Notamacropus eugenii: one gene and its partners. The protein of the gene in region 3 purifies or fractionates together with the protein of the main gene of each other region. This does not show direct contact. Links are inferred from orthologs where the notes say so. Each region holds a gene or a part of one and is shown on either strand. Other genes may lie near its edges. The genes, in order: EIF2B5, EIF2B3 and EIF2B1.

Region 1 (9,976 bases), on a different chromosome or scaffold from region 3:
ATAAGGTCAAAGTAGATACATGATTCAGACATAAAAGATGATACCATAAGCAAATTAGGAGAGCAAGGAACTATTCCTTGTCAGATCTATGGAGAAGGGAAGAATTTCTGACCAAACAAGACATGGAGGGCATGATGAAATGCCAAATAAATAATATTGACTTTATTAAATTGAAAGTTTTCACACAAATGAAACCAATGCAACCAAGATTAGAAGGAGAGCAGAAAGCTAGGAAACTATATTTACAGCAAGTGTCTCTGATAAAGGCCTCATTTCTTAAATATATAGAAAACTGAGTCAAATTTATAAGAATACAAGTCATTCCCCAGTTGATAGATTGTCAAAGGATATGAAGTTTTCAAATGAAGAAACCAAAGCTATCTATAATCATATGAAGAAATGCTCTAAATCACTTTTGACTGGAGAAATGCAAATTAAAACAACTCTGAGGTACCACCTCACATCTATCAGATTGTCTAATAGGACAGAAAAGGAAAATGATAAACCTTGAAGAGGATGTGGGGAAATTGGGGCACTAATACACTGTTGGTGGAGTTGTGAACTGATCCAACCATTCTGGAGAGCAGTTTGGAACTATGCCTAAAGGGCAATCAAACCTTGCATATCCTTTGATCCAGCAATACCACTACTATATCTATATTCCAGAGATAAAAAATAAAAAAGGAAAAGGACCTACTTGTACACAAATACTTATAGCAGCTCTCTTTATGGTGGCTAAGAATTGGAAATTGAGGGGATGCCCATCAATTGGTTCTGAATAATCTGTAGTATATTAATGTAATGAAATACCATTATGCTATATGAAGTGATGAGCAGGTAGATTTCAGAAAAACCTGGAAACTGATGCAAAGTGAAATAAGGAGAATCAGAACATTATACACAGTAACAGCAACACTGTGGGATGATCAGCTATGAATGACTTAGCTTTTCTCATCAATGGAATGATCAAAGAGAACTACAGAGGACTCATGGCAGAAAATTCTATCTACATCCAGAGAAAGAACTGAATGAACTCTAAATACAGATCAAAGCATGTTATTTTAACTTTATTTTTTTTCATGGTTTTTTCCCTTTTGGTATGTTTCTTCTTTCACAACTATAAATAATATGGAAATGTTTTACATGACTGCCCATATATAAGCTATATCAAATTGCTTACTGTTATAGGAAGAAGGGAGTGGAGGCAGGGGGAAAGAAAAATTTGGAATTCAATATTTTGTAAAAATGAATGTTAAAAATTGTCTTCACATATAATTGAAAAAAATACTCTTTTAAAAAAGGACCCTTCCAGTATCCTTCAAGACCTTAAAACCACCTCCTCCTTGAAGCCCCTGATAAAGTAGCACTATTTACTGTAGTAAAGAGACTACTGAATTTAGAGATAAAAGATCTGAGTTTTAATCCTGGATATGCTACTTAACTCATTGTGTAACCTTATGTAAGAAATTTCCCCTCCTGGACTCAGTTTCCTCTTCTGTAAAGTGAGAGGATTGGACCAGGTGATTTCTAAGATTTCTTCTAATTTTAAATCTGTGGTCTTATAATCCTATGAATGCCCTGAGGTCCTGTTAAAATTCTTGCTCTACAAACCTTTTCTATTCTTCTGAGTTTCTGTGTGAGGTGTTTGAAATAACTCATTATGTAAATCATCATGATCTAGACTCCCACCAATGCAGGACATTCTATTTACAGACCATGGAAGAGTCTAAGTCAAATAGCCGATTATTTAGTTAGGACAGAATAGCAAGGTGGATAAAAAAAATAAAGAGGCAACAGAATCTTTCTCAAGGTCAGAAAGACCTTCAGATCTGATCTCAGATACTTACTAGCTGTGTGACCCCAGGCAAGTCACTTAATCTCCTTTTGCCTCAGTTTCTTCAAATGTAAAATGGGGATAATAAGTGTAGCTACCTCCCAGGTTGTTATAGGGATCAAATGAGATATCTGTAAAGTATTTCATGCACTGCTTAGTACATAGTAGGCATTTAATAAATGCTTGTTTCCTTCCTTCAGGGTCTATATGTGACAACTGTAGCTTGTAACATGTTCAGTGTAGTAGATCATCTCCTACGACATCAGAGGGCTCCAGTTCTCCCCAATAGACTTTGAGCTAATTAGGAGCAGGGACTATCTTTTTCCTTTCATTGGATGGCTAACACTTAGCACCTGGCACTCAGTGTATCAACAAACATTTACTAAGTCTACTGTGTTCCAAAAATTGTACAAAAAAAGAAATCTCTTCCTCAGTGTGGGGCAGGAGAAAGGAACTGGCTCTAGAGTCAAAAGTCATGGGTTCAAATCCTCCTTCTGACACTATGTGACTTTCACTTTAGGGGACAGCTAGGTGGTGCAGTGGATAGAGCACCAGTGCAGGAGTCAGGAGGACCTGAGTTCAAATCTCACCTCAGACACTTGACACTTACTAGCTGGGTGACCTTGGGCAAGTCACTTAACCCCAGTTGCCTCATCCTGGGTCATCTCTAGTCATCCTGATGACTATCTGGTCATTGGATTCAGATGGCTCTGGAGAAGTGAGGCTGGTGACCTGCCCAGACCTCCCTCACTCAAAACAAAGTCAAGTGCAAGTCATGTCGTTATTTCTCTGATGGCATGGTCTTCTTCGGCAACGAAGGATGAACACACACAAAAAAAGAAAAAAGTTAGACACTCCCTACCTTCAAAGACCTTAAGACAACACACAAAAGGAAATTGAATTGGAGGAGAGAAGGAGGTATGTGGTGAGGGAGTATGATGGAAAAGTCCAAATAAGAGCAAAGAGGTAGGAAATAAAGAAATGACTGGTGGAGCGGGTGCTTCTTAAGTGGAAGTTTGGGGAGGGAGTTCATCTCTCTGCCCTCAAAGATGAGGGCTTCCAGGGACAATGGGTTGCCCATGAGGTGTCAGAACCAAGACCAACTTGATTGGCACACAGTAGATACTTAATAAATGCTTACTGACTGACTCCAGCTCTGGCTCTCCACCCAGAGTAATATAGGAATGCCCAGTACCTTCTCCAGGCAAGTCCTGCTTAGCTTTGCTCCCATCTTTCTTTTCAAAGTTCTGCCTTCTGACAAAATTTCTGTGTCCAGACGCAAATCTGCTGGGATTCTCCCATCCTGAGACTTCCTCCAGGGAATATTAGCACCCTTGCCTCTCTGTATGGATACTCAAAGCCACACCAGAGAGCTTCATTAAAGGTATAATAAGGGCTTCTCATGGAATATGCATAAAGTTGTCCTTCCTGCTTGGGTGCAACCACGCCTGTGACTCCTTGTGGGAACTCAGCACTGAAAGGAGTTTGTGGTTTGGTAGGATATGAAAGGTCGGTAAGGGTGGGGATGGGGATGAGGTAGGCCTTGGGTGCCATGTCAGTTAAAAAGTAGAGGTAGCTTCTGACTCATTCTCTTCCTTTTTCTCTCCCCTGTGACAAGTAGTGATAGTCTGTCTATAGACTTTTAGTGAGGGAATGAGCAATCCGTGGTACTCTCCCCACCTCCCTGTCCCTGCCCTTTAGCCACTCCCACATAGAGTCTAGACTCAACCAAGCAAGTTTGCTTCTGGGCCCCTGGCTGCCTTTTCTCTCTCATGTTTCCCTTCCTGAATAGGTAATAATATCTTTCTTTAAGTGAAAAGTCTATAGGTCTTCAGTCCATTGAATAGAGCTGAGTGGTAACAAGGGAAGTTTCTGCATTACAGAAGACTGATAAGAGAAGGAGCCCAGGTCCCTGGCCAGACTTTGAGGGAGAGAGTGCAGAACCGAGGTGAAATGTGGGATGCCTATTTGGCAGCGCTACAGATTGCTTTATATCCTGATGAGATTTAAGGCTCAGCCTCCCAACAGATTGTAACTGTAGTTTGGCTTCCCAAACGCTATCACTTTCCATGCTTCCAGAAATCCATGGCCTCATCCATGTGGGCATTTCAGTCACAAGTGAAGATTATAACCCATATCCCCACCCCCTTCTTATCCTGAGCAGTTCCTACTCTGGTCCTTCCATAACCCCTCTGTGGAGGATCTGGACTGCAGGCTTTTTTCTTGGCCTTTTACTGGTTTATATTTCTAAAGCATCAGCTTAGATGTCTCTCTAGTCTCTGATGTTCTTCCAGACTCTTCCAGTCTGCCCTATTTTCTGATCATTCCTGAGATCCATCCAGGGAACTATTTTCCTGTCTTCCTTCTTCAGTACAATTTTCTCCCCATCTCCTCCAAATTACCTAGACCAGGAGTGGCCTTTCAAGACTGAGTCAGAATTTTATAGAGCAAATCCTTTTATTAAGGGGATTTGTCCTTTGAAGTTTGGATTCAGTCAAAGGATTGCACTTGGGGATCTAGAGGGTCACACATTCCCTACCCCTGATCCTAGACTATAAGCTTTCTGAAAAAAGTGGAGTACACTCTCTATACTTTTATCCTAAGAACTTGGCATGGTGCCCTGCATGTAATAGGAGCTTAATAAATGCTTATTGATTGATTTGTATAATCAGATAGATTATGGCCGTGGTATAGAGACAGAAGGCCAGGGTGTGTTCCTAGGGAAAGACTGGAATCTTAGGGCTTGAGTTCAAATTCTGCAGCGTAATACCTGTACAACCTTAAACATATCACTCCCCCAGTTTCCCTGTGCATCAAATGAAAAGGTTGAGCTGGAATCTCACCTTTAAGTCTCTTCCAGTTCTAAATTTCTGCTCCCTGAGCCCCTGTAAAATGGGAATAATATCACCCTTCCAGGGTTGTTGTATGGAAATAGAAAGGGAAGTCACTACTATCTCTGGGTCCCGTACTGTGGAGCCTGCCATACACACACACACACACACACACACACACACACACACAAAGTTATTGCTGTAGGTCCTTAATTTTTGAAGAGGGTCAATGACGTCACGTTCGTGTGTGAACTGCATCAAAGCGAAGCGGGGTTTGCCTCACTCTCTCCTCCAGAGCCATGCACATGAGCCATGCATCTTCTCGGCTTGTGGGTTGAAGAAGTAAATGACCAGGTGAAGGTCAAAAGACTACAATTCCCAGAATGCTGCTTCGGACCCATCCACAAGCCCTGTACTGCAGTGCGCACGCGCACTTCGGCTTTTCCTTGTCGGGACTGCAGAGTGTAGCCCCGCCCCACCCTTCTCCCCGGAGGCTGGCCGGCCTGGCTGCCGGCCGGAATGCGCATGCGCGTGACTGCTTGACCCCTCTCTCCCTGCTCCCCAAGGTTCACACTCGCTAGCACACGCGCTTTACCTTTGGTAGTGCTTCGCGCTCGTGCTCCCGGCTCCTTTTTGTCCCTTCTGGACCACGGTGGAAGCGACCGGCCGCACGGAAGCGGCAACAGTTGGCGAAGATGGCGGCTACGGCGGCAGCCTCCCGGGGAGGCAAGCGAGGCGGCGGCGGTGGTGGGCCGGGCGGCAGCGGGGCGGCGGGCCGGGGAGCCGAAGAGGAGGCGCCGCCGCCCCTGCAGGCCGTGCTGGTCGCGGATAGCTTCAACCGCCGCTTCTTCCCCATCTCCAAGGACCGGCCCCGGGTGAGCGCTGGGGAGGGAGAGAGGGGAGACCCCGGAGAGCGGAAAGCGCAGGGCGGGGAGACCGCGGAGCGCGGAACGGGGGAGACCCGGGAGCGCAGGGCAGGGAGACCCCGGAGCGCAGGGCGGGGAGACCGCGGAGCGCGGAACGGGGGAGACCCGGGAGCGCAGGGCAGGGAGACCCCGGAGCGCGGAGCGGGGGAGACCGCGGAGCGCAGAGCGGGGGAGACCGCGGAGCGCAGAGCGGGGGAGACCGCGGAGCGCAGAGCGGGGGAGACCGCGGAGCGCAGGGCGGGGAGACCCCGGAGCGCGGAGCGGGGGAGACCGCGGAGCGCGGAGCGGGGGAGACCGCGGAGCGCAGGGCGGGGAGACCCGGGAGCGCAGGGCGGGGAGACCCCGGAGCGCAGAGCGGGGGAGACCGCGGAGCGCAGGGCGGGGAGACCCCGGAGCGCAGAGCGGGGGAGACCCGGGAGCGCAGGGCAGGGAGACCCCGGAGCGCAGGGCGGGGAGACCGCGGAGCGCGGAACGGGGGAGACCCGGGAGCGCAGGGCAGGGAGACCCCGGAGCGCGGAGCGGGGGAGACCGCGGAGCGCAGAGCGGGGGAGACCGCGGAGCGCAGAGCGGGGGAGACCGCGGAGCGCAGGGCGGGGAGACCCCGGAGCGCGGAGCGGGGGAGACCGCGGAGCGCAGAGCGGGGGAGACCGCGGAGCGCAGGGCGGGGAGACCCGGGAGCGCAGGGCGGGGAGACCCCGGAGCGCAGAGCGGGGGAGACCGCGGAGCGCAGGGCGGGGAGACCCCGGAGCGCGGAGCGGGGGAGACCGCGGAGCGCGGAACGGGGGAGACCCCGGAGCGCGGAGCGGGGAGACCCGGGAGCGCAGGGCGGGGAGACCCGGGGAACGCTGAGAACGTAGTGAGGAATACCTGGAGAGCACGGGGGTGGGAGCAGGGCACTTGTGGAATGCATTGGTGAGAGACCAGGGATCTTAAAGGAGCTGGGAGTGGGGTGACCCTGCGGCAGAGTACTGGAAGGGAGGAGAGCCCCCTCTCCCCTGCACAGGGGAGAAGAGGATCCCAAGGAGCAGAGAGGGGCAGCTCCTTGCTGCAGTACCCCAGAGATTGAGGTGGGCACCCAGAGTCAGGTGAAAGGGGGTGGGGGTGTGCCCCTGCTAGTTCCATATGGTATCTATGGACATGTTCTCAAACCGCCCTGGTCAGGGGACGTAGGGGAGCACTTTTACCTCCTCTGTACTATGTACATAGACACTCTGTGCACACATCCCCAGAAGAGGCTCAGCCAGGCCTGATCAGATCTGCTGATACATGCACTCACTGCTCCCATATCCGCTCCTAGGCTGAGCCTTACCCAGGGGCATTATATTGACATCTGATTGTCAGGGAGAGGGACAGGCTTCCTGACAGCAGGTGGCTAGGGACCAAGAAACCGATTCCCTTACCTGAAGGATCTGCAGCCTTGGGGACACTTGGAAACTCTGGGGGTGGGAGAGATTTGGGATCATCTGAAGACAGCCCTTGGCCCTCTTCTCACCCCCCAATCTCACATGGGGAAGCTGGACTTCTAGCACAAAGATGAACGAAAAGATGGATGGTTCACCTTTTTCTGGTGGTGACCAGTTTACAAAGCAAGACCGTAGAGGGGGTCACAAATTGTTTTACAAATGAGAGAACAGGGGGGTCCTATTGACCAAGCAGCTTGCCTCCAATCCCACTGTGAATGTATGGCTAGTGTGGAAAGTCTAGTCTCTTTTCACTCCCAAGGATGAAGGAGGGAGGAATGAGGAGCTAGTTCAGGTGCTTTCTGGCCCCAGGAGGAACAAGTCCTAGTGGCTTTTACTAGTTTCCAAAAAGAAGCTTTGTAAAATAAATTTTAATTGATTTTTTAAAATATTATTCACATGTCCAGCTGTGTCTGTCCCTTGCCTGGGAGACATCTCTTATATAATAAAAAAGTTCAGCAAAAGCAGCTCCCGTATGGGAAAAGTCTGCCGCTGTGTTAGGTGTTCCCCACCATGGTCTCCTGCCTCTACCAGGCAAGAGGCGGAGGGGTATCTTCTGTCTCTTCCTTAGTGCCTCCCTTGGCTTTCATCATTTCAGAACTCGTGAGTCAGTTGTACTGTTCTTTCCATTACATTGTTGAAGTCATTGGATAGAGTTTGCTGGCTCTGTTGACTTCATTTTTTGTCAGTTCATATAGATTCCTCCATGCTTCTCTGTTCATCAGCAGGGGGAAACTGTCAGGGGTAGGGAACCTGTGGCCTTCAGGCCATATATGACCCTCCAGGTCCTCAAGTGTGGCCTTTTGACAGAGTCCAAGTTTTACAGAACAAATCCTTTTATGAAGGGGATTTGTTCTGTGAAATTTGGATTCAGTTAAAGGATTGCACTTGAGGACCGGGGAGGCCACGTGTGGCTTTAAAGGCCACAGGTTCTTCACCCCTGTAAGGTGAAGGAAAACAAAATCTCATTCTGCTGCAGGAGAAATGGTTATAATTCTGAGCACATATAGGAACTGTGTGTTCTCACGGGTGAGAGGGTTAAATTGACCTTAGCTTCTGAGGCCCAGCTGCTGGAGCCCTCTATTAAAGATCATTTCCTATTCCCTCAACCCTTCTGCTGGACAGTTGGGAAATGTTCCAGGGCCAGTGCTTGGGGCTGGTTGGCCCTTAGTGCCTGCAGGGAGCTCTTAGACCAGAAGTAGGTGACCGCAGCCTTGGCTCCCAACTCCTATGTTACCCTTCACAGCATTGAATGGGTTTATTTTGTTTTGTTTTGGTCTGGATCTGTGATGATGGATCACAGAGAAAGGTGGAGAGGATGGGAACAGCCTCTTATCCAACACCTCCTTTTGTAGATGAGGAAACTGAGCCCCAGCACAGTGCAGTGCTGCTCAGGGCCAAGTGGGTAGGCAGGCTGGGATTTGAACTGGAATCTAGGAATGGCCAGTTCCACAGTCTTCTCATATGGCTGGAGAAATCCTTGGGAAGGGGCCTCCCTCTGGCTCTTTGCCTAGCCAGCTGGGTCACCTGGGCCACCAGCTTGGGCAAAGGCCGGGCATGAACCCAGGAATGACTTCCTGGATCCAAAGCGATCACTGCCCACTGCACCACTGTACCTCTTCGGGATGTTCCTGGCAATCGAGGACAAGGAAGGAAGCTTGAAAGGATTGAGGCCTTGGGTTCTGCTTTTGTGTGACAGATTGTGGTAGAAGGACAAGAGAAAATGTCCTCCCCCCACCCCACCCCACTTCCCTGAGGTGACCTGGAAGGCATGTTGGAAGATGAATTACTCCAAGCTTCCCTGCTTGCTCCCTAGAAGTTGGTCTGCAGAGTTTCAGGAGAGGCAGTTCCTGGACGCAGAATAGAGAGAGGGGATCCCAGATGCTTCTGAATAAGCAGCTGCTTTGTTCTGGCCTTCCCACAAGAAGCTGGCATTCAGCTCAGGGCCTTTTCAGGGGACTGGAAACCTTAGTGAGAGCTGAGGAGAGGAAGATGGTATTTACGAGCTACCCCCCAACTAAGGCTTTCTCTTCTCCGCTCCTCAGGCCCTCCTGCCCTTGGCCAATGTGGCCCTGATCGACTACACTCTGGAGTTTCTGACTGCCACAGGGGTGCAAGAGACGTTTGTGTTCTGCTGCTGGAAGGCTCCCCAGATCAAAGAGCACATACAGTAAGATCCTGGCCCTTCTCAGTCCTTTCTAAGTGGGACAGTCACAGGTTGGGAGGGGAAGGGCCATCCATTCCCAACCCCTAAGGATGCCTGTTGCTGGCAGAGAAGAGTAGAGCCTGGAGCACTGAACTCTAGAGGCTGTTTTTGTGTCTCCCCCAGGGAGCTGCTGGTCTGCCAATGACCACCTCTTTTCCTTATTTTTCCCTACATTCCCTCTCTTGTTCCTTGGGAAAGGGCAAGTCCCTGGATGCTTCGAGCACGGGGAGGTGAGAGACGAGACATGTGTGTATATATATACATAGAGTCCTGTGACATGGAATCCTAGAGTCCTGTCACTCCCATTTAACAGATCAAAAGACTGAGATTCAGAGAAGTCACACAGCTAATATTAGAGATGGGATTTAAAATCTGATCTCTGAATTTCAGCCCTGGTGCTTTCCCCACTGAAACGCGTGCTGCCTCTAATGTGGGCCTTTGACTGAGAGATGACTCTGAGCCCCCTCTCTGCCCTGTGGTCTCAGGGGCCATGGCACACCGGGCAGAATGGGAGTGTTGTTCTCTGTCCAGCCTATAAAAGAAGGCTGGTGACACCCAGGAAACTGGAAGTCATAATTAGAGTCTGCAGAATTCTTTGAAGTTGGGGACGCTCCGCCAAGTAGGTGGGAGCTTGGAAAACCACTGAGAAGGGCTTTAGCTCTTCTCAGTCACCATACTGGCTGAAAGCCTGCCAGGTCAGCTTGGATTTTGAGCTCTTA
Region 2 (10,012 bases), on a different chromosome or scaffold from region 3:
CTCTGACTCAGCAGGTGGTGAAGCTCCACTCTCTCCTTTCACTCCCTGCTCACAGCCCTTTGTAAATCTGACAAATTACAGGGCCCAAAGTACGTAGGGCCCAATGACAGGATTTCATGGTAGGCAGCAAGCTTACCTTCAAACCCAATGCGCTCCAACAGGTTCAGCGGGTACCAGATCAAAGGTTTATTGCCAACAGGGAGCAGGGGTTTGGGAACACTGGAAGTCAAGTCTGTCATCCGGGATCCCCCTCCCACAGCCATCACCACTGCTTGAAACTCCATGTTTCCAACCTGAAAACACAAAGAGAGAGGAAGTCAACAGGGCCAGTTTGTAATGAAATCTGAAGCACACCAGAATGCACTCACTCAATTTTCCTTTTAGCCATCTATAAATCAGTGGGTGCCACCAGAAACTCCCAGTATGGGAAATAAGAACTAAAACCATACATAGAATTCACTGGGCTCTCAAGTTCTATCCAAGAGTCAGGGAAGATGTGGGCTGGAATCCTGTGTCTGAAGAGGAGTGTGATCTGCTGCAAGACCCTGGGCCAGTCCCTTAACCTCTCTGGCTCAGCTTCCTCTGCTCCAAAAGGGGAATGCGGCTCCCTATCTTAGGTAGATGCAAGTACAAGGACAACTTGCCCTTTCCAGCGTAAAGGGACATCCTGAGAACTGGAAGAAGGATCCTTAGCAATCAGGCCAGGCCCACCGAGTCAGGTTGCCTCCCAAACACATGGCCTGGCTGCAGCGTTTGAGAGGCATCCTCAAAAAACCCACACTTGATCTGTCCATCCCTGCTAGCTATGTATGGTCCCATATCTTCCCTCAGTTTTGTGACTACACTGTTTGAGAAGGCTGTCTACAATAGGTGCCTCCATTTCCTTTTCTCTCACTCTCTTCTTAACTCTGTAATCTCTTTTCCAACCTCATCATTCAACAGAAACTGCTCTCTTTACAATTATCAATGATGTTCAATGGTCTTTTCTCATATATACATATATCTATAATTTGATTTTTGCATTTTCTTTCTAAATTTTGAGTTGCAGATTCTCTCCCTCCTTCCTACCCCTCTCTCAGTCACTGAGAAGACAAACAATGCATCAATTATATCATGATATTAATTAATATCATGCAAAACATACTTTCATATTAGCTATATCATAAAACAAAGCAAAAAAAAGGAAATTATACTTCAATTTGTATTCAGAGTTCATCATTCTTTCTCTGGAGAGAGGATTTTTTTCATGATGAATTTTTTCATCATGAATCCTTTGGAATTGTCTTGGAACACTATATTGATTAGAGTAGCCAAGTTTGTGTGTGTGTATGTGTATATATGTGTGTATATACATATATATGTGTATATACACGTGTGTGTGTGTGTGTGTGTTTATAAACACTGCTGGTACTGTGCACAATTTCTCCTGGTTTTGCTCACTTCACTTTGCATTATTTCATAGTGGTCTTACTATGTTTTTCTGAAATCACCTCCCTCCTTGTCATTTCTTATAGTACTCCATCACAATCATGATACAATATGTTCAGACATTCCCCAACTGGAGGGCCAGTCCTCGATATTCAATCTTTTGCCACCACAAAAAGAGCTGCTATAAATATTTTTGTACATATGGGTCCTTTTCCTTTTTCTCTGATCTCTCTGGGATACAGACCTAGTAGTGATACTGCTGGATCAAAGAGCATGCCTTTGTCATTTTTGATAGGTGTGAGGTGGTACTTAAGAGTTGTTTAATTTGCCTTTCTCTAATTAATAGAGATTTGAACTATCTTTTCACATGATTATAGAGTGCTTTGATTTCTTCTTCTGAAAACTGCCTGCTCATATCCTTTGACAATTTATCAATTGGGAAATGGCTCTTATTTTTATACATATGGCTCAGTTCTTCATATACTTGAAAAATGAGGCCTTTATTGGAGAAACTTGGTGTAAAAATTTTTTATGTTACTTCATTGTCGATGGTACCTTTCAGAAAACTCTAGTTTCTCTGGTCCTCTCTTTTAAGTAGGTCTACTTTTGCTTCGCTTTGTCTGAGACCATCATAGCTACCCTTACCTTTTTTCACTTCAGCTGAAGTGTATTAGATTCTGCTCCAGCCCTATTTCTTTAATTCTGTATGTCTTTCATGTGTGTTTTAAATGTGTCTCTTGAACATAACATATTGCTGAATTCTGGTTTCTAACCAATTCTGTTATCTGATTCCATTATGGGTTAGCTCATCCCATTCACATTCCCAATTATGATTACTGTGTATTTCCCTCCATGTTATTTTCTTCCATTTATCCTTCTCTATCTTTTTATCCTGTCCCTTCTCAAAAGTCTGTTTTGCTTCTGACTGCCTCTCTTAACCCAACCTCCCTTTTATCATTCCCCTTCTCCCATATCTCTTATCCCCTTCTCTTATTTCCCCTTTAGGTGAGATAGATTTCTATACACAACTGAGCATGTACACATATTCTTCCCTCTTTGAACCAGTTCTGATGAAAGTGAGGTTTCTTCCAAGCCTCTTTTATGTGAGAAAATTTTCCCCACTCTACTTTTCCCTTTTCCTTTCTCCCAGGGCAACCCTTTTTCTCACCCCCCCCCCTTTTTTGGGAGATGATCCAACATAATCCACTAAAAACCCTAACCTCACTCTATGTAGACTCCTCCTAACTGCCCTAATGATGATAAGGTTCCCAGGCGGCCAGCAAAGTTGTCCAACTAGTTGTCCAATCCCTTAATGTCCAACTCTACCATCTTGGCTCTGCCCCTCCCCCATGGCCTTTTCTCAGTCTTCATTCTTCTTTCCCTGTCTCCAGCATCTGACACTGTCCTTCACCCTCTTCTCCTTGATAATCTCTTTCTCTGGGTTTTCAGGCCACCATTTTCTGCTGGTTCTCCTCCTACCTATCTGACCAGCCCTCAGTCTCCTTCGCTAGTTCTTCACTCAAGTGGAGATGTCTCACAGTGGCTATCTCTTAGGGCTTTGTCCTGGGATCCTCTTCTCTTTTCCTTCTATACTGTTTTATTTAGTGATCTCATCATCTCCTTATGAATTCAAGTATCATCTATGCAAATGATTTTCAGATCTACTTAATCAAACCTAACCTCCTGGCTGAACTACAGACTCACATCTTTGACTGCCTATTGGATATCTCCAACTACAAAGGTCCCATAAACATCTTAAACACAACATGACCAAAACTGAACTCATTATATTTTTCCCCAAAATCCCTCCTTCTTTCTGAGTTTCCCCTTACAGTCGAGGGCATCACCATTTTTCCAGTCACCCAGGTCCTCAACTGAGGAGCCACATCCAATTAGTTACCAAGGCCTATCTATCCTCCCTTCTTACTGTCTCTGAACAACATGTACTCCTTCCTCCCCTCCCATGCTTTCACACACAGCCCCACCTCACCTTGACCCCCACCTGGTACAGGCTTTCTCCTTCTCTTATGCCTAGACTATTGCTGCAACAGCTTGCAGGTGGGTCTTCCTGCCACATTCCCCAAGGCAGTTCATCCTCTACTCAGGTACCTGGGTGAACTTCCTAAAGCACAAGTCTGACTATGTCACAGAAACACACTCACCCTCAATAAACTCCAGTGGTTTCAGAAGTTCACCTCCAAGATCAAAAAATAATATCCTGTTTGGCGTTTAAAGACCTTCATGACCTGCCCCATCGCCACCCCCTCCCCTCCCATGGAGCTGCACTAGCCTCCTGGTTGTTTCTGCCACAAGATGCTCCATCTCCCAAACCTCTGCATTTTCCCTGGCATCCTCCATGCCTGGAAGGCAGTCCTCATCTCTGCCTCCTGCCTCCTGGCTTCCTTCAAAGCCTAGCTAAAACACCACTTTTCCTGATTTCCCCACAAAGATCGGGGTACCACCATGCCAGCCTGAGCCTTGGGCAGCCAATGGCTCCTCTGCAAATACAACACTGCCCAAAGGGGAAGTTTCTGGGGTAGGCTGGCAGAGCTGCCCATCCAAGTGCTCCACCTCTCTCAGTTGCTGCACCACTGCAAGACTTGGTGCTACTGAGCTCAGATGAGCTCCACCAACTCCGGCCATGGGCTTCAGAGGCCACAGACTCACCTGGACACTGGACATTGGAAGGTGGGGCAGAGGAAGACCCCAGGCGGCGCTGCCACAAGCCTGGCAGATGGCGACCTGGCCAGGGACCACCAAGCCTACTCACTTCACAGATTATACATCCATGGACCCATTCAGGGACCCCAGGGCTGCTGCACGGACTGACCCTCCCCCCAGGCCAGAGACCCTGGTGCCCCCCAGACTGACCCTCCCCCCAGTCAGGGACCCCAGGGCTGCTGCACGGACTGACCCTCCCCTAGAGACCGTGGTGCCCCCCCCAGACTGACCCTCCCCCCAGTCAGGGATCCCGGGGCTGCCACACGGACTGACCCTCCCCTAGAGACCCTGGTGCCCCCCCCCAGACTGACCCTCCCCCCAGTCAGGGACCCCAGGGCTGCTGCACGGACTGACCCTCCCCTAGAGACCCTGGTGCCCCCCCCCCAGACTGACCCTCCCCCCAGTCAGGGACCCCAGGGCTGCTGCACGGACTGACCCTCCCCTAGAGACCCTGGTGCCCCCCAGACTGACCCTCCCCCCAGCCAGGACCCGGGGCTCCCCGGCCCTCCGATCGTGCCCTCTCCCGGGCTCTCTGAGCCCTCACACACAGACAGCACCCAGGCCACCCCCAGCTTCACCTCTCCTTCAGCCTCCAGTCACACGCCAAACTGACAGCCCAATGGCGACCACGAGGCTACTGCGCTTGCGCAGAGAGCCTACTCCGCATCGATCAGCCAGGGGCGGGGCCAGGAGAGAGGACCAGCCCAAAATAAGCGAGCGCCGAACAGAGGATCCTGAATCCCTGCGGCTAGAGGAGGAGAGGGCAGAGAGGGAGGCGGGAGAGGGCGGGGGGAGCGGATCCTCGGAGCCGGGTGCAGAGCCGCCGAGGGCACCCTGCGGCGACAGCGAGCTCACCACCTGCCGAGCAGCCGAGAAGGCGAGCCGGGCCGGCCCGGGGACAGCAGCGGCAGTGCCGGGGAACTTCCCGGCTTCCCAGGCCGGGGCTCGGTTGTCCCCTTCTCCGGCCGGTCCTGGCCCCTCCCAAGCCGCGCAATCGCCCCGCTTTCGGGGTGACCGGCCCCAGACTGCGGCTGTGGGAAACCTCTGAGTCCCGGGGCAGCAGCGCCAAGCCGGCCCACCCCTCCAGCCTTCGCTGACCCCCCACTCTGGGCCAGGTACCGAGGGGGATCCTCTCCCCTTGCTCCATCTCGCGCGCACCCCTAGCTTCCAGAGCCGGCCCAAGTAACAAGCCACACTCCACGAAAGCAACACAGCGAGAGTAAGCTGTTTGTCAGGACGTGTGACCCCCTGCTGGGCGCTCGGCGGCTGTCCCAGGTACCCATCGGGCCACTGCCCTCGGGTGAGCAGTTGTGTCCTGTTTGCAAGGCTTCAGAAATGCCTGGCATCACTTTACCAACAACTGACCGATTTGTCCACCAGGTGGCAACACATTCACCCCGACAGCCAAGTGGACCCTTGTGTGTTTCCAGCAGCCCGGCTTGCGTCTCCTCACATGCTCCCACCAGGGGACCCCCTAAATGCCTGCCTGCGTCTCACTAGGCTAAGGTTTCTTAGCAGCTGGCAGTCCAGCCCCCTCCCTACCTGCTCACTGTTCTCTCTGGCCAGTGCAGAGCCTTGGTCTCATCTTGTCCAGCCCCTCTTGTCCACTCTGTGTGTACAAAGCTCCCAGGATCCCTCCGGATTCTGCCTTTATTGGGCTGGTGGAATGGCCCTGTCCCGAGCTGTGTGTGTGCCTCATTCCACCCACCCCACAATCCATCACCTCTGTCAGGACTATGCTGGGAAGAAGACTTTGCCATCAGTCTCCTGGAGCTGCTCAGAGTCCTGAAGTCTTCCCAAGATACTTTTCTTTACCATGTTGTTACTGTATCGCTTCTAGTTCTGCCCCCTTCCCTCTAGCTCCATTTATACAAATCATTCCAGGTTTCTCTGAAACCCTCGCCTTTACTATTTCTCATGGCAAAATAATATTCTATCACATTCATATACCATAACTTTTTCATCCATTCCCTAATTGATGGGCATCCCCTGCGTTTTCAGTTCTTGGCCACCACAAGGAGCCAGTATAAATGTCTTTGTACCTGTCAGTCCTTTTCTTCTTTCTCTCTAGACAACAGATGTGGTAATGCTCTTCCTCGTTCTTTATGTATGTAGCACACCAAGGACTAAGTTAGAGTCCAAATGTGGTGGTTCCACAATTCCTGATGAAGAGAACAGTTTGTTAAAGACAGATCTTTTCTACTTTTCAAATGTTCTTAAGGAACTGGGTCACTCCCTAAGCTTTCTAGAGACTCATTTTCCCTCCATTTCTTCTGTTTTGTTAGGTGATATGATTCATAATCTTCTACTGTCCTCCTCTGTAAGATTTTCCAATGAGTTTATATTCTAACCTGTCTTTTCCCTGTTGGCTGGATTTTCTTGATAGATATATATAGTTCAGTTGTTTTTTTCAGTCGTGTCTGATTTTTCCTGATCCCATTTGAGGTTTTCTTGGCAAAGATCCTGGAGTGCTTTGCCATTTGCTTCTCCAGCTCATTTTATAGATGAGGAAACTGAGGCAAACGGGGTTAAGTGACTTGCCTAGATTCTAGTGCCTGAGGCCAGATTTGAACTCAGGTCTTCTTGATTCCAGGGTTAATGCTCTATCCACTTTGCCACCAAACTGCTCCCTCTTGATGAGATGGAGAAAATGTTTACTTGCTGCAGCAGTTTCTCAAATCATTGAGCCACTTCATCGTGGTGATCGATTTGCATAAATCAATTACACTTCCTTAGGAAACATTGATGATCTATGCCAATTTCTGTTCCTTTATTCCAATCTCATTTTTCATTGTCAATATGCTTATTCAAATAGGTCAGGTCGGAACTGTATTGCAACACACTATATCTTCTCAATTTTATTCTCAATTCTGAACTTGGCTCTAACAAATGGCTAGTTTGGTTGCACACACATAGTTGATTTTAGAATGTTTCCATATTGGTAACTAGTCTTTTCCTTTTTGTTAAGATATAGTCAATTTCATTTTTTGTGGTTATTTAGCAATTCTCCATGTCTAGTGCCCTAGATTTTCTTCTTTTTTTTCTATTACATTTTCATTTACTGTATTAAATATTTTCCAATTATATTTTTATTACTGAAACTTAATTACAAAATAAGAAAAAGAGAGGATATCATATGCACAGCAGAATGTAAAAAAGAATTCAAAACATATAGCAATAAATTTCCATTTCAAGAAAGCCTGTATAATAAATACTACACGTTGCGTTGAGAGCTATCCATCTTTTCTTTGCTTCCTTATTCTCTGTTATGTCCCTTTTACTTTGTTCTTTTTTCCCATTCCTTCCCCCTGCTCCCCCAGAAGACTACAATTAAGTGCTGATATATTTGTATATTGATATAAATACCTGGATTTTCTTCTTAAAGAAATTGTTCATGGTATAAAACATTGAGGCTTCAGTTTTTCCCACAAGCCCTTGGACTCATTTCTTTTTTTCTCCAAATTTATTAATGTCTTCAGTTTTCAACAATCACTCCCATAAGTGCCAAATTTTCTCCTCCTCGCTCCCCAAGATGGCATGCAATCTTATATGGACTCCACACATACATTCCTATTAAACGCATTTTCACATTAGTCATGTTGCATAGAAGACTTAAAATGAATGAGAGAAAACAAAACAAAACATAACAAAAGAGAAAATAGTCTGCTTCATTCTGCATTCGGATTCCATAGTTGTTTCTCTGGATGTGGATGGCGTTTTGCATCATATGGACTCATTTCTTAATCTTGAGTCATATGTGATGGGAAAATAAGAATGCTACCTCACATTTCGGTAGTGCTTTATAATGAAACTTGATAGCAATCTTCCTTCCCAACAAACCTTAAATGTCTGATATGATTTGTTTTTTGTTGGCTTTTTCTGGTAGGAGAGGAGGAAGACTTGGGCAGGGGAAAAGAGTTGACTAAAAAAAGTCAAAGAAAGAAAAAATCCACAGAAGAGAACAGCAAGGAGAAAGGGAAGCCAAAAGAAATTAAACTCTCAGTTCCAGGGAGGCCAGACTTAAGGGTAACTCTCTAGCAATCTCCATGATGCCTCATTGTCTATGAAATAATATGTGTTTATGAAATAGTAAAATGAGGAGCCCAGTTTTACATTTGGGAATTTTCCCCATGGTGCTGTAGCTTTGTTTTATTTTCAACATTACAGGCTCTTGGAAAGGCCCCCAAAGCTGTGGTGTCAAGGGCCCCCAAAGAGTCCCTATCTACTTCCACACCTGGCTGGCCCGGCAGATTAGATCTGGGCTGAGCTTGGCCTCTGTCCCAGACCTCTGCTAGCATTAATGTGAAACTCATTGGCTTTTCCAGGCAATTAATGAAATGATTCTATAGATTTCTGCTTTACATGATTATTTCATATTCCTTATTCTCTCCCAGGTTGCTGGGAAGGGGGCTTTCTTTGCCTGTCAAGGGACCTCTGTGGCAGCCAAAAAGTTCTTGTAGACCCAAGGATCATTGGTTGTGGGCCTAACCTCTTACCATGACCTGGAGCCCACCCTATCATCCCACTGTAAGCCCCAGTTGGTTGAATTCTAGTCAGTGGGAAAGGAATCATTGTTTTCAGATTGTTGGATCAAGGATCAAAAAAAAAAGGGTGGAGAAAGGAGCCCAATTTGTCGACCAAATGCCAGTCCTCAAACACTGGTGTTTTCAGTTTTGTTCCCTAGCCCAGGAATGGCCTAATGGATTGATTCATCACAAAGCTGTAACCAGATTCCTGGTATTTGTTTACTGCTTCCAGGAGAACTGGGGGAAGAAAACCTTCATTAATTGGATGTGGAATAATCTTCTGTAAACACATGTGAATGATGTTAGTGGCTTCCCCTGCTGTCTCAGAATGGTAGATCTGTCCTAAATGAAGCAATCTCATGGACTCAGTGATGTTTCCAGCTGTGAATTGGGAACATGTGTCAGCTGGGCTGGAAGTCATAGCCAACCTGGGAGTTAAACCAGCCCTTGGAGGTCATCTAGTCAGTTAACAAGCATCTGTTAAGCTCTTACTTGTTAGGGATACAAAGAAAGGCAAAACCATGGACCCCACCCTTACGGGTTCACATTCTAATGGGGGGGGGGGCGTGGCAGAGATGAAAAGGAAGCCCAGGGTTGGTCAGCACTTGGCCCAAAGTCATAAATTGTTTACAGAGACTGCCTCACTCTGAGTCCAGAACCTTTCCCACCATATACTTGTATTTTCACTCTGGAGTTTTCTAGACACTGATGGCTCTTAATTAATTTACCTGGAACTGTTAAGTGTTGGCAGTATAACGTAGGCCTCCAAAAATAAAAATATTTCGTATTTTTGGTGACTTATTGTTTACAAAGTGCTTTTCCCATAAATTGTGCGTCTTTTATGTGACACCTGGGAACTACAACAGCCCTGTAGTGTAGGTAATACAACGTGGCTCCTGGACTGCCTTCCTTAAGTCTACATGATGGAAGCACGTCACCGTAGTAATTATCCAGCAAATAGGTATACTATCAAAGGTGTCTAGCAGGTAGCACTCTCCTTGAGCCGCCAGAAGAGTAATTGCCACATACTTTTTCTGTTACATGAGTGGGATCATATCCAAAAGTGGCTCTGTCTGGGTAGCTAGGTGGCATAGTGGATGAAGCACCAGGAAGCCCCAAGTTCAAATCCAGCTCAGATACTTACTAGCTGTGTGACCCTAAGGAAGTCACTTAACCTGTTTGCCTCAGTTTCCTCATCTGTAAAATGATCTGGACAGAGAAATAGCAAATCTTTCCAATATCTTTGTCAAGGAAACCCCAAATGGGTTACAAAGAGTAAGAACAAATCTCTTTTGGCCATGAGAGGATGCTCAGCTTACAATGATCTCGTTTATTCC
Region 3 (10,634 bases):
ACTGGTACAAAGCTGGTCATGTTGCCTCATGATATTCTGATGTAATCTAGATTCCATTTGCCACAATGGTACAATACTTCCCAATAAATAATCCTTTTCCTAAATCAGCCTTGTGTGTAAAGCATGAAGGTGACAGCCCAGGGGGGAAAGAAAGAGGTTGGAAAAGATCCTACAATCCACAAATTGATGGGTCTCCTCTTGCCTTGTTCCACCACCCCCCTCCCCTTTCAGAAAGGGGCAGTGGGTACAGTGAAAAGAACAGTGAATTTGTAGTCCAAGTTCTAGTTTCATGCTCTGCCACCCATGTGACCATAGGCAAGTCACTTGACTCATTTTCCTCTGTAAAATAAAGGGGTTGATCTAGATCAGAGATGTCACTTGGAAGGAAGCAGGTAAAACATAATTGGGAAAAGTTTAACAAAACCTAGAATACAGCATAACATAATGTTAAATTGTGGTTTTCTATGTCAACATGTTTTCTATTTCCATTTGACATCACTGGTTTGGAAGACTACTGATGTCTTTTCTGACTCCGTACATGACTCTGTGGCCCTCACTAGAGCCCACACATCTTCTAGCTCTATGAGCCTAAGAATCTGTACCTGGAGTGATCCTGGAATTGAATCCCAGATCGGCATCTTAGTCTGTGAGACCTTGGGTAAATTACTTTTCGCCTCTGCACCTCAGTTTCCTCATCTGGAAAATGTGGGGGTTGGTCTAGATGACTACTAAAGTCCCTTCTAATTCTAACCCTGACCGAGTGACCCTAGTTAGAGCCTCCACTGTTCACTGACCAAAGGCTTTATTTGGTCCACCTCTGCTAGGTGTCAACAGGCCTCTTAGAAAATGAAGGAGGAACGAAAACTTAAGGAGTTAAATGAACAAGGCCGCACAAAGCTGGTTAGACTGATGGGGCCCCAGACCTCTGTAACCCCAGGATCTAGTGCCATGCCATACACATAAAAGTAACTTATAAATGTTTGTTGAACTTAACAACCATTTATTAAGCACCAACTATGTGGAAAATATTGTGTCAGGAGCCAGGAATCTAAGGACAAAAATGAAATGCTCCCTACCTTGAGGAAGGGACAGGAATTTTACCGGGACACATCATTAAACCAAAGCAGAGGAACATACAGATATGTATGAACTATGCTAAAATGAATTTAATAAATGAAAGGCTTATATAACTTAACATGACTGTGTGTGTTCGATGAAACAGAGAGATGGTGAGGAAGTCAATGATCTCGTTTCTGGTCAGGTGAGATGATGTACAAGTCGACCCATGGCCCTTGAATTGTTTCAGTAATTACTAATGTACTTCAAAGGGGATAAACTCAGAGGGAGGTATTTAAGAGACAGAAGGTAATTAGACAACTGGTATGTGCACATATGATGACATGGATGTATACTGGTTAAGGGAAGCACCATCAAAGTTTGATTATCCTAGTAAAACACCAACTGAAATTGTTACTCCTGAGTCCCAGAGCCACAAAGCCCTTCCCAATACCTCATTACATAAGTCGTTACAACATTTTCTCCCACATAGCACTGATAACTCATGATTCCACTTACAGCTCCATCTTTAATGAAAGTATGGCACAGGTCGGCAATTTTACTTCTGGAAAGTGAGATCCTCCTGAGAAAGAGCTCTCCTCGCTCAATCATGATTGTTTTACACTTTAAGTAATCCTAGAAAAAGTGAAAGAGAAATCAAGGTAGAGGCTGTCCAGAGCCACGTAAAGAAGCACAAAAGCAGTCTGGACAGGACATGAACTCACTGAATACTCCAGGGAGGTGAGACTGATGAACCGAAGGAAGAGCTCTCCACCCGAGGAGACTGCCACAGAAGAATCTACGCTGCACAGGATTTTAATGGCATTTGTGAGATTTGCTCTCAAACCCTGAATTGTTCCTCCTGCAAAGTTCAATAGTACAATAAAACTTGCGTTTGGAAACTGATTCATCCTTTTATCTTACAGGACAATTATGTTACAAACAAAGATCTCTGAAATAGAGAGGGATTTCTTAGTCGACAGCTTCCTCCGTATTTTAGGATTTAGGGTTGGAAGGAATCTTAGAAGGCATCTAATCTCTTACTATACGAAAGAGAAAGCTGACAGCCTGAGAAGAAGTGACATTCCAAATGTTCTTTCCACAATATTCTGCTACTCTCACCTTGCAAAAGTAACCTGAGATTCTATGAAATCAGTCAAGTCTATGTCATTGGCACATCTCAGAGAATTAAGCTGAAGGGGTTACTAAGTACATGAACCCAATTTCTTTATCTGAGAATAAAAATCTGTTCTGCTAGTACAATGATTTGAGCTAAATACGTTTTGGAACAGAAAATGCTCAAATAAATTTACAGTATATCTCTATTCTGCAAATGAGCTCTCAAAGCACTATTCTATGGAAAAGGTTATGCATTTTATCTAAGAAAATAAGTACAAAGTCAAGGTCTCCTTTCTTATTAAGAGCCTGGCATAATGCTCCGTGAATAGTAGGTATTTAATTATTGAATGTTAGTTGATTATAACTGGGAATTGGGTCAAAATTAAATTGAGAACAGTCAAGAGTGAAGGGGCATGTGGCTATGCAAACTCACAGACACATAAGGCTTTCCAACATTTTTTTCCTGGAGAAAGGAATTTGGGGAACTGCTGACTGAGATCGTCTTACCTTGGTCTCTCTTTAAGAACTCAAGTAAGGTGCGGATGGCGGCCACAGCAGAAGCCACATCAGGATCTTCTTTCATTTGGGAATTAAAGTACTCAATCAAATCTGGGAAGGAGGGGACCATGGGAAGAAATACGTCAAGTTTCATTCGGCAGGCTGTATCACCTACAGCATCACCTGTGATGCCTGAGGACCCTCAGCCCCTAGGGTGAGTCCCAGGGTTAGAGGTAAGGAAATACAAACCCCTCATTTTACAGATGGAGGTCAAAATGAAGAGAAACTTCGGAGGAGAAGAGTATAGGAATTCAGATGGGTGACTCCAGATCCAGCGCTCTTACTGTAATACCAGGCATTCCTAGAGTGCCCGGGGGAAGCCACCACAGGCTCGTACCCTGAGGGCAATACTTTATCTCACACTTAAGGAAACGGAGACCCAGAAAAAGCAAAGTGCCCGACAGTCGGGAGGTCCCATTTGGCGGAGGGGCTTCGGCCCCCAATCCAGCAGCCTTTCCCAATCTCTCGGAGTCATCACTCCTGAATTACGAAGCCTCCCTGCTCTCCGAAATGACCCTGTGCCTATTCTGGATGTGCCTGCGAAGGTACTCCTGGTGCCAGCTAGCGCCCAGGGCGGTGCCCGGCACGCAGAGCCCAACTCAGAGGCGCCTCCTAAGTGCGAAGGAGCCCAAAGGGAGCCCGGGAGCTCCCGGTCCGGCGTGCAAACAGTGGCGCACAAACAAGGCGCAGCGGGGGCAGACTGGGGTGATGGGCAGAGGGAACTGGAAAGGTCTCTCGGCGAAGGTGCAGGGACGGAATGTGCACGCATGCGTGGACATCTGTATACACACGCTTATGTACACAGACACACGCCCACATGGATGCACGTGTACATATACACACGTGTACATGCGTGTAGGCGCACATACAGCAGATGGAAGGGACTTCCTGGGCCACCCCTTTTACAGATGAGTAAACTGAGGCCCAGGGAGGCCGGGGTTGGACCCAGATCCTCCACAGATTTAGAGCTTAAACCCCGCCGGTCCAACCTCTTCATCCTACAAAAGGGGAAACTGAGGCCCAAATCCAGCGTGCTCTCCTTTCTACGAATGGGGAAAGGTCCGGGGCGGGATTCACACCCAGGTCTTCCGGCCTCCAGGTCTAGCCCACCCTCCTTCGCTCTGGGGAGTCCCGGGTTCCAGCCCCCTTCGCCCCGAGTCCCGCGAGCCCGCCCCGCATTACCCGAGTCGTCCATGGCGCCGCGGCCACGAGGCCGTCCGCCTTTCCCCACAGCTATCCCGGGCGACCGGCCCGGTGACTGATAGTCCAGGCCGAGGCACGCACGGCCCGCCCACGGCGGGGCCGGGCCCAATTTCCCAGCAGCCCGCGTGTACGGCGGCCGGTAGAGGCCAAACTTCCTTCGACAGCTCGCGCCTGCGCAGAAGGCCAGGACAGTACGGTGGCCGCGGGGCTCCCGCGGCTCTCCGCTGAAGCGCAGGAGGTTCGCCATGATCTCCGAAGGTGAGCGCGCCCTGGGGCAAACAGGGAAGCCCCGGAGCCGGCGGAGCGGACCGGGGGCTGCGGCGGGGAGAGCGCCTGGAGGGGCCCAGAGCTGTGGAGGGGAAGGGTCGAGACTTAGGTGCAAATCCCGCCTCTTGGTGCTTAGCTACCTAGGGAAGCTCGGGCCAGGCCTTTCGTCCCCCTCCTGGGCCTCAGTTTCCTCCCCTGTAAGGTGAGGGAGAGAGCCCCGGCCTAGATTCAACCCCTCCATCCGACGCTTCCCAGACCCTTCCCCTCTCGGAGCCTCAGTTTCCTCCTCTAGACCCGAGGCTCCGATGGGCCAGCCAGCCTGAGGAAGCCTAGGAACCCCCTTCCAGAGTCAAGTTGTAAATGCATAAAATGCCCAAAGAAACCCAATTAAATTGAGGTCAAGCAAGGTCAAGGACCTTTGACCCGAAGCACCCGCCGGACTAGATGGTGTCCGAGGGTCCCTCCGGTCCTGTGACCTCTCTGAGCGACCTCGTCTTCTTTGAGGAGGCTGGTGATGCCCCGCCCCCACCCTCGCCCCATGTGTTCTGTTTGGGGGCTGTCTGGTTTTTTGTTTTGCCTTTTTTTGGGGGGGGTAGGGGTATCCCCAGTGCTGTGCACGGGCTGTGGCCCACGGCAGTTTAATAAATGCTCATTAACTCTATGAGTTGGAATGAGGACTTCTAAGGTCCTTTCCTGCATGGGCTGCAGGATGATGAATGAATGAAGGAGCACTTATCAAACGTTTACAATGTTGCCAAGCATTAGGGATAAAAAGAAACAAAGAGAACAATAGTGTTACAGTTGTAGCCAGGAAGACCTCAGTTTAAATACCTCTTCAGATACTTACTAGCTGTGTGACTCTGGGCAGGTCACTTACTGCCATTTGTCTCAGTTCTGGAGTCACAGGACGTGGGTTCAAATCCGACCTCTGAAACTTACTATAACTGGGTGACCTTGGGCAAGTCACTTCAGATGGGCAAGATCCACTCCCTGGGTTTCAATTTCTTCATTGATAAAGTGAAGAGCGAGGGATTGGACTAAACCTCTAGGCTCCCTGCCAGCTCTGTAGCTTTTATGTATCGCTGGGTGAGGGGAGGCAGTGCTTGGCTAGTCTGCAGCTCATAGGAGAAAGAACTGAGGGTCTCAGCACAGTTGGTACTTGTTTCTTTTGAAAGATCTAGGCAATTGTGCATTGAATTGAGGCGACTGCTGGTATTAGATGGAGGACAGCTGAGGGGCCCCTGGTGTTCAGGTCTGCTGGAGTGATGCTCCCAGGGGATATCTGGAGCACTGAGCACCCCAGTTTGGGAAGCACCCCAGAAGCCACAGTCAGCCCTTTCCAACTCTGGGATTTTACAAAATCATTCAAGTCACAGCTACTTTCAGGCTTGCAGAGCCCCATGAGGCAGCTTCTTTGGGCATCATTCCTCTGTTAAAGTGACTTACTTATGGTCATATAAGGGAAGCGTTAGAAGCAGGATTCAAACTCAGTCCTTCTTGGCTCCTAGCCCAGCACTCCCTCCGTTACACCACGTTGGTTACTATGTGAAATACACTGTGCTGGGTACCAGTGATTCACAGGCCAATAGTTTCTCTGCCCATGTATAACCCATATCAAATTGCTTGTTGTCTCAAGGAGTGGGGAGGGGAAAGAAGGAGAGAGAATTTGGAACTCAAAATTTTTTTTAAATGTTAAAAATTAGAATTGGAAAGACGTTTTTTAATTTAAAAGAAATATCAGTAGTCCTTGCCCTCAAGAAATTTACGTTCTGCTGTGAAGAATGTGACATGTAATGTTTTGCATGACTTCACATGTATAATGAGTATTATGTTGCTTGCCTTCTCAGTGGATGGGGGAAAGGCTGGAGGGAGGGAGAATTTAGATTAAAATAAAAATGTGGATGAAAATTTTAAAAGTAAATGTTAAAGAATAAGGTAACATAGGTCAGTTAGAGTGTTTGGTGGCCAGTGAGAGTGTACAGAGCTCTAGGAGTCTTTGAGGATAGCAAGAGTGCCCTTTTTCCCTCTCGTCCTCAGTTTCCCCATCTGTAAAATGAAATGCTTGGATTAGGTGCAGGGATCTGTAGGAGACTTTGGAGATCATTTAGTCGTCTAGCCCTTAAACCCCTTCACCATCTGGCTCCAGCCTATCTTTACCAAGTCATGGAATGTTACTCTCTCTTAGACATTCTGCATTGTTACCAGCTGTATTACCTTCTTGTTCCCTACTTTCCTCCTTCCACCTCCTGCCTCTACATGATGCTGAATGCTTTTCCTCCTAACTTCTACCTTGTAGAATCCCTAACTTACTTCATGGGCCAAACTGGACGCCACCATTACTTGGAGGTCTTTCCTGATCTCCCTAGTTGTTAGTACCCTTGCCTTGCCTCCCCCTAAAAAATTATTTTAGATTTCTTCCTTCTCTGATTTCTCCATCTGTGTTGCTTCCTCCCAGTAGATTGTAAGCACTTGAGAGTAGCAATCATTGCCTTTTGCCCTTGTCTCCCCAGTGCCTTGCACAGATACCTGGCATTTAGGAGTCTGCTGAATACTTGTTGAGTTATGTACAACAGCTTTATTTTACAGAAGATGAGTTAGAGACCCTGAGGGGTTAAAAAGTGGGAGTCCCCCCTCCCACCACGACTAAGTGCCAGAGCCAGGAGTCAAAAGCAGGTTTTTCTAGTAATTCTCCGTATGTTGTACCACACTGCCTCAGATGGTCACCAAGACCCCTTCCGGTTCTGACATTTTTTTATTTCTGTGAGGAAAAAACTGTCTGAAATTCCCCTTTCATATCCTGAGTGATCAGCCTAATCACTTTTTATAGTAGAACATGGGAATCCTTTGCTTTTTAACCCTGCATCCTGAGGAAAAGCTGTAACCAGAATATAGAATAAATAGAAAACCATTTCAGTGGGGCAAGAACACTGACACTTAAGGGGTCAGGAAAGGACTTTCTGGAGGAAGTGAGGGATTTTTTGTGGTATAGGTAAGAAGGAAGGAGGCACACAGAAGCCCAGAGGCAGGGGATGTGACATCATACGCAGAGAACAGCAAAGGTTTGTGTAAGTCTCTGCATTGATTCTTCATTTGGTGAACATTTATTAAGCATATCTGGTGCCTTGGCACCAGTACCAGTAGATACAAAATATATGTAAGGATGTGTGTGGGGGAGGTGGGGGGGTGTGTGTGTGGGTGTAGGTGAGGGTGTGGGTGTGGGTGGGTGTAGGTGGTTTGAGCTTAAGGCCTTTGATTGACTCCTTATCAAGGCTAGCTGATAGCCAGTTCTACTCCCTAAATCTCTTTTCTCACTTATACCAGGATTTCCACCTTAACTGATTTGCTTTTGAGATGCCCCAAAGCATTGCCCTCTCCTCTTAAACTCTAAAGGTGACTTGGATAACCCAGTAAGTTGTTAACACTTTAGGGTAAATAAGTTTTCCTAGCTTTTAGCCTTCATGACAAAAACAATTCCAGGCATCAAGTGCGTTGGACCGTTGGGTGTACAAGGAGAGAAGAGATGGCGTTTTCTATAGGCTGACCTCATCCTGGTTTTTAGAAGATCTTGGCCCTCTCCCCTGTGTAGACCCTCTTAACCTGCATTTCTGTAGAACAATAGATATTTATAAGCAGGTTGGTTGTAATTGAGCTGTGGATTAAACTGGTGAAATAGGAAATGTTAACTGTTTTTTGATCTTTCTCATGTTTCTTGTGATTTCAGATGATGAATTAAACCTTCTAGTTATCATAGTTGATACAAACCCAATTTGGTGGGGAAAACAAGCTTTGAAAGAATCTCAGGTAAAGTTCATTATGCTGAGGATTACTTTTTAAAATCTTAATACTAATTTAATTGAATATCTGAATTGCCATTTTGAAATTAAGATAAGGAATTTTGACTCTTGAAATGTCATTTAACTCAATATACTCTTTTGAATTTGTTTGTGGAAAAAGATATGCAGAATTTAAATTGTGAATGTTATGATATTTAAAATCAGTAAGCAAGCATTTAGTGCACACATAGCAGTAACTTAAACTATGAACACTCAAGATACGTTATATTTGTTTTCCAGGTGTGGTGCTGTACGCTTTGCAGGAATCTAGTGTTTATTCAGTGTAATGGGTAGAAATAGTCACATGTAAGAGAAAGAAGAAAAATACAATTTTCAGAAATTTTCAAATATTTTTACTTGAGCATTCCTGCAAAAACTTATGTTCCTTGGTTATTTAATTACAGATGTTGTTAAATTTAAGTATAGATTTTAGATAAAATTTGTTTAGATTCCACTATTAGGATTTGGACCCATCATCGTTCCTAATTTCTTCCTTTTCAACAGTTCACATTGTCAAAATGCCTAGATGCTGTCATGGTGATGGGAAATTCTCACTTGTTTATGAATCGTTCCAACAAACTTGCTGTGATAGCAAGTCATATTCAAGAGAGGTATGGTTATTATAATAAATATTTTACTGTTTCCTAACATTTTTGCAGCTTGTGTGCTTTCTAAACAAATATTCTTTTGCTATTATGGGATACATAAAAGGATGAATGAATTAATATCCACAATATTATTAGGAAGAAAAATATATTATTTCTTATATTATGACATAGTAAAATCTCAGTAGGTGATATCAGCTAATTAAAATAGCACCCAAATAAAACAACTCTTGTTTCTCAGCCTCGTATTTGTTTTTCCCATTACATTTTTATGACCAGGCCATTGTAAGTAAAATGCTTTGCAAACCCTGCAGAGCTAAATAAATGACAGGCATTGTCATTGTCATCAGGAGCCCAGCTATGGCCCCATGTGGTGGGTCAGGGGCTAGGCTTTGGCTGCCACTGGTATAACTCACATAGTGCAGGGGAAAAGTTAGTTCTCATGTGTTTTACTGTAAGTTAAAGTATGAAGCCCTCTCTTTGTAAGTTGAGAAAATGAAAAGAATGTGACAAATGAGGCAATATCGAGAAAGAGCAGAGAAAGAACTAGCCTTCAAGTTCCAATCCCACCTGTTGACCCATCCTATCTTGACCCAACCTGTGTAATGACTCAGTGCCCCAAACAACCCTGTGAGACCCTAAGGTGCAGAAGAATTGGTGACTGAAATTGGCAGAGGGAATTGCCTCACTGGGAGTCCCCTAAGCTCATGGGTTCACAGGTCAGAACCAGAGTAGACAATACATACCATCCTGCTGGGCTTCAGAAAACCCCAAATAATCCTCCTGTAGTTCCTCTAAGAGAATTCTATTTTCAAAGTTCTCTTCATTTTCTTTAATGAAATATTTTTATAATTTGAATTCTTTTTTACTCATAATGTCTTGACTTTTGCTGCAGAATTTAAACGGAAAAGGCTTTATTTAATACATTTGTTTGTTCATTTGTTTTTCTTTTTTTAAAGTCGATTTTTGTATCCTGGAAAGAACTGGAAATTTGGAGATTTATTTGGTGATCCTGGCAACAGCTCTGCAGAGTATAATCCTTCAGGTAGTAAGGATGGAAAATATGAGTTATTAACTGCAGCAAACGAAGCAATTACCGAAGAGATTAAAGATCTCATGACCAAAAGTAAGTGGAGTTCAGGGGCTTTTTTTTTTTTTGGACAGGAAGAGAGTATTATTTAAAGGAGTTGGAGATTTAGAAACCTTGGGAGAATTAGTTACCTCTTGAATTTCTTAGTACTTTCTACTTCATTAATCTTTTTAAAATTCCTGTTATTAAAATTTTTTATTAAGCACATTTACATTGCTTGGTCCTTTGGGCTTTAAACTGATTAAGTAACTCAAAGGAAAGGCAGCATGTAATAAGACCTTGGAAAAATACAAGATGGCAGCATCCTAGTGTTCACACTTTAGTTTCTGCCTAAATTCTTTTGGAATAAAGCTGTTTACTTGAATTTCTCAGCTCTATACTAAATGACTCCTGTGTGCAAGGTAGTTCGCTCCCAGTAACACAAAGATGAATGAGACCGTCCCCACCTTCCAGAGCTCCCTGTCTAGTCACAAGGATAAGATGGGGACTCAGAAAAGTGAAAAAAAACAAACTACCCAGAGCAGACCTGGCACAATCACAGGTTTGGCAGAAACGGACCCAAAAGGCTGTCTCCACCAAACAGAGCCCGAGGCTAGTGAACTTTCACTTGAGCGGGCTCTTGCCTGGGACCCTCAGATCTTTTGCAGATGAACTGGTGGATAGCCGGGCCTCCTCCAGTTTGGATGTGTGAAATTGTTTTGTTTTGACCGTCTGTGAGATTTACCTCTCAAGTTTTATCTTTTTAGATTCATCCCAAGGTTTTAGGCCATCAGGAGCTTTTTAAATGCTAATTATCTAATCTAATATGTTAGTTATCCCTCCCAGCTTTGTGTTGTTTGCAAGTATGATAAATAATGCCATTCAGACTTTCAGCTGAGTCATAAAAATTGCTAAACACCACAG

The links.
Region 1: the proteins of EIF2B1 (region 3) and EIF2B5 purify together in Homo sapiens (affinity purification with mass spectrometry; 7 studies listed by BioGRID and IntAct, counting the BioPlex papers as one, with this or other methods). This does not show direct contact. The link is inferred for Notamacropus eugenii from reciprocal best matches to the Homo sapiens genes EIF2B1 and EIF2B5.
Region 2: the proteins of EIF2B1 (region 3) and EIF2B3 purify together in Homo sapiens (affinity purification with mass spectrometry; 7 studies listed by BioGRID and IntAct, counting the BioPlex papers as one, with this or other methods). This does not show direct contact. The link is inferred for Notamacropus eugenii from reciprocal best matches to the Homo sapiens genes EIF2B1 and EIF2B3.

What each region holds. Positions count from the first base shown.
Region 1 is NC_092873.1:57,222,845-57,232,820, reverse strand, and holds the start of EIF2B5 (translation initiation factor eIF2B subunit epsilon), read left to right. Parts: upstream 1-5,097; 5' UTR 5,098-5,360; coding exon 5,361-5,540; intron 5,541-9,096; coding exon 9,097-9,221; intron 9,222-9,976. UniProt on the Homo sapiens protein: Acts as a component of the translation initiation factor 2B (eIF2B) complex, which catalyzes the exchange of GDP for GTP on eukaryotic initiation factor 2 (eIF2) gamma subunit.
Region 2 is NC_092873.1:506,430,185-506,440,196, forward strand, and holds the start of EIF2B3 (translation initiation factor eIF2B subunit gamma), read right to left. Parts: upstream 4,161-10,012; 5' UTR 4,111-4,160; coding exon 4,096-4,110; intron 294-4,095; coding exon 137-293; intron 1-136. UniProt on the Homo sapiens protein: Acts as a component of the translation initiation factor 2B (eIF2B) complex, which catalyzes the exchange of GDP for GTP on the eukaryotic initiation factor 2 (eIF2) complex gamma subunit.
Region 3 is NC_092875.1:38,933,073-38,943,706, forward strand, and holds the start of EIF2B1 (translation initiation factor eIF2B subunit alpha), read right to left. Parts: upstream 4,184-10,634; coding exon 3,916-4,183; intron 2,785-3,915; coding exon 2,683-2,784; intron 1,919-2,682; coding exon 1,782-1,918; intron 1,693-1,781; coding exon 1,576-1,692; intron 1-1,575. Other genes in the region: GTF2H3 (general transcription factor IIH subunit 3), read left to right, coding at 4,182-4,194, 7,925-8,004, 8,541-8,647, 9,601-9,767.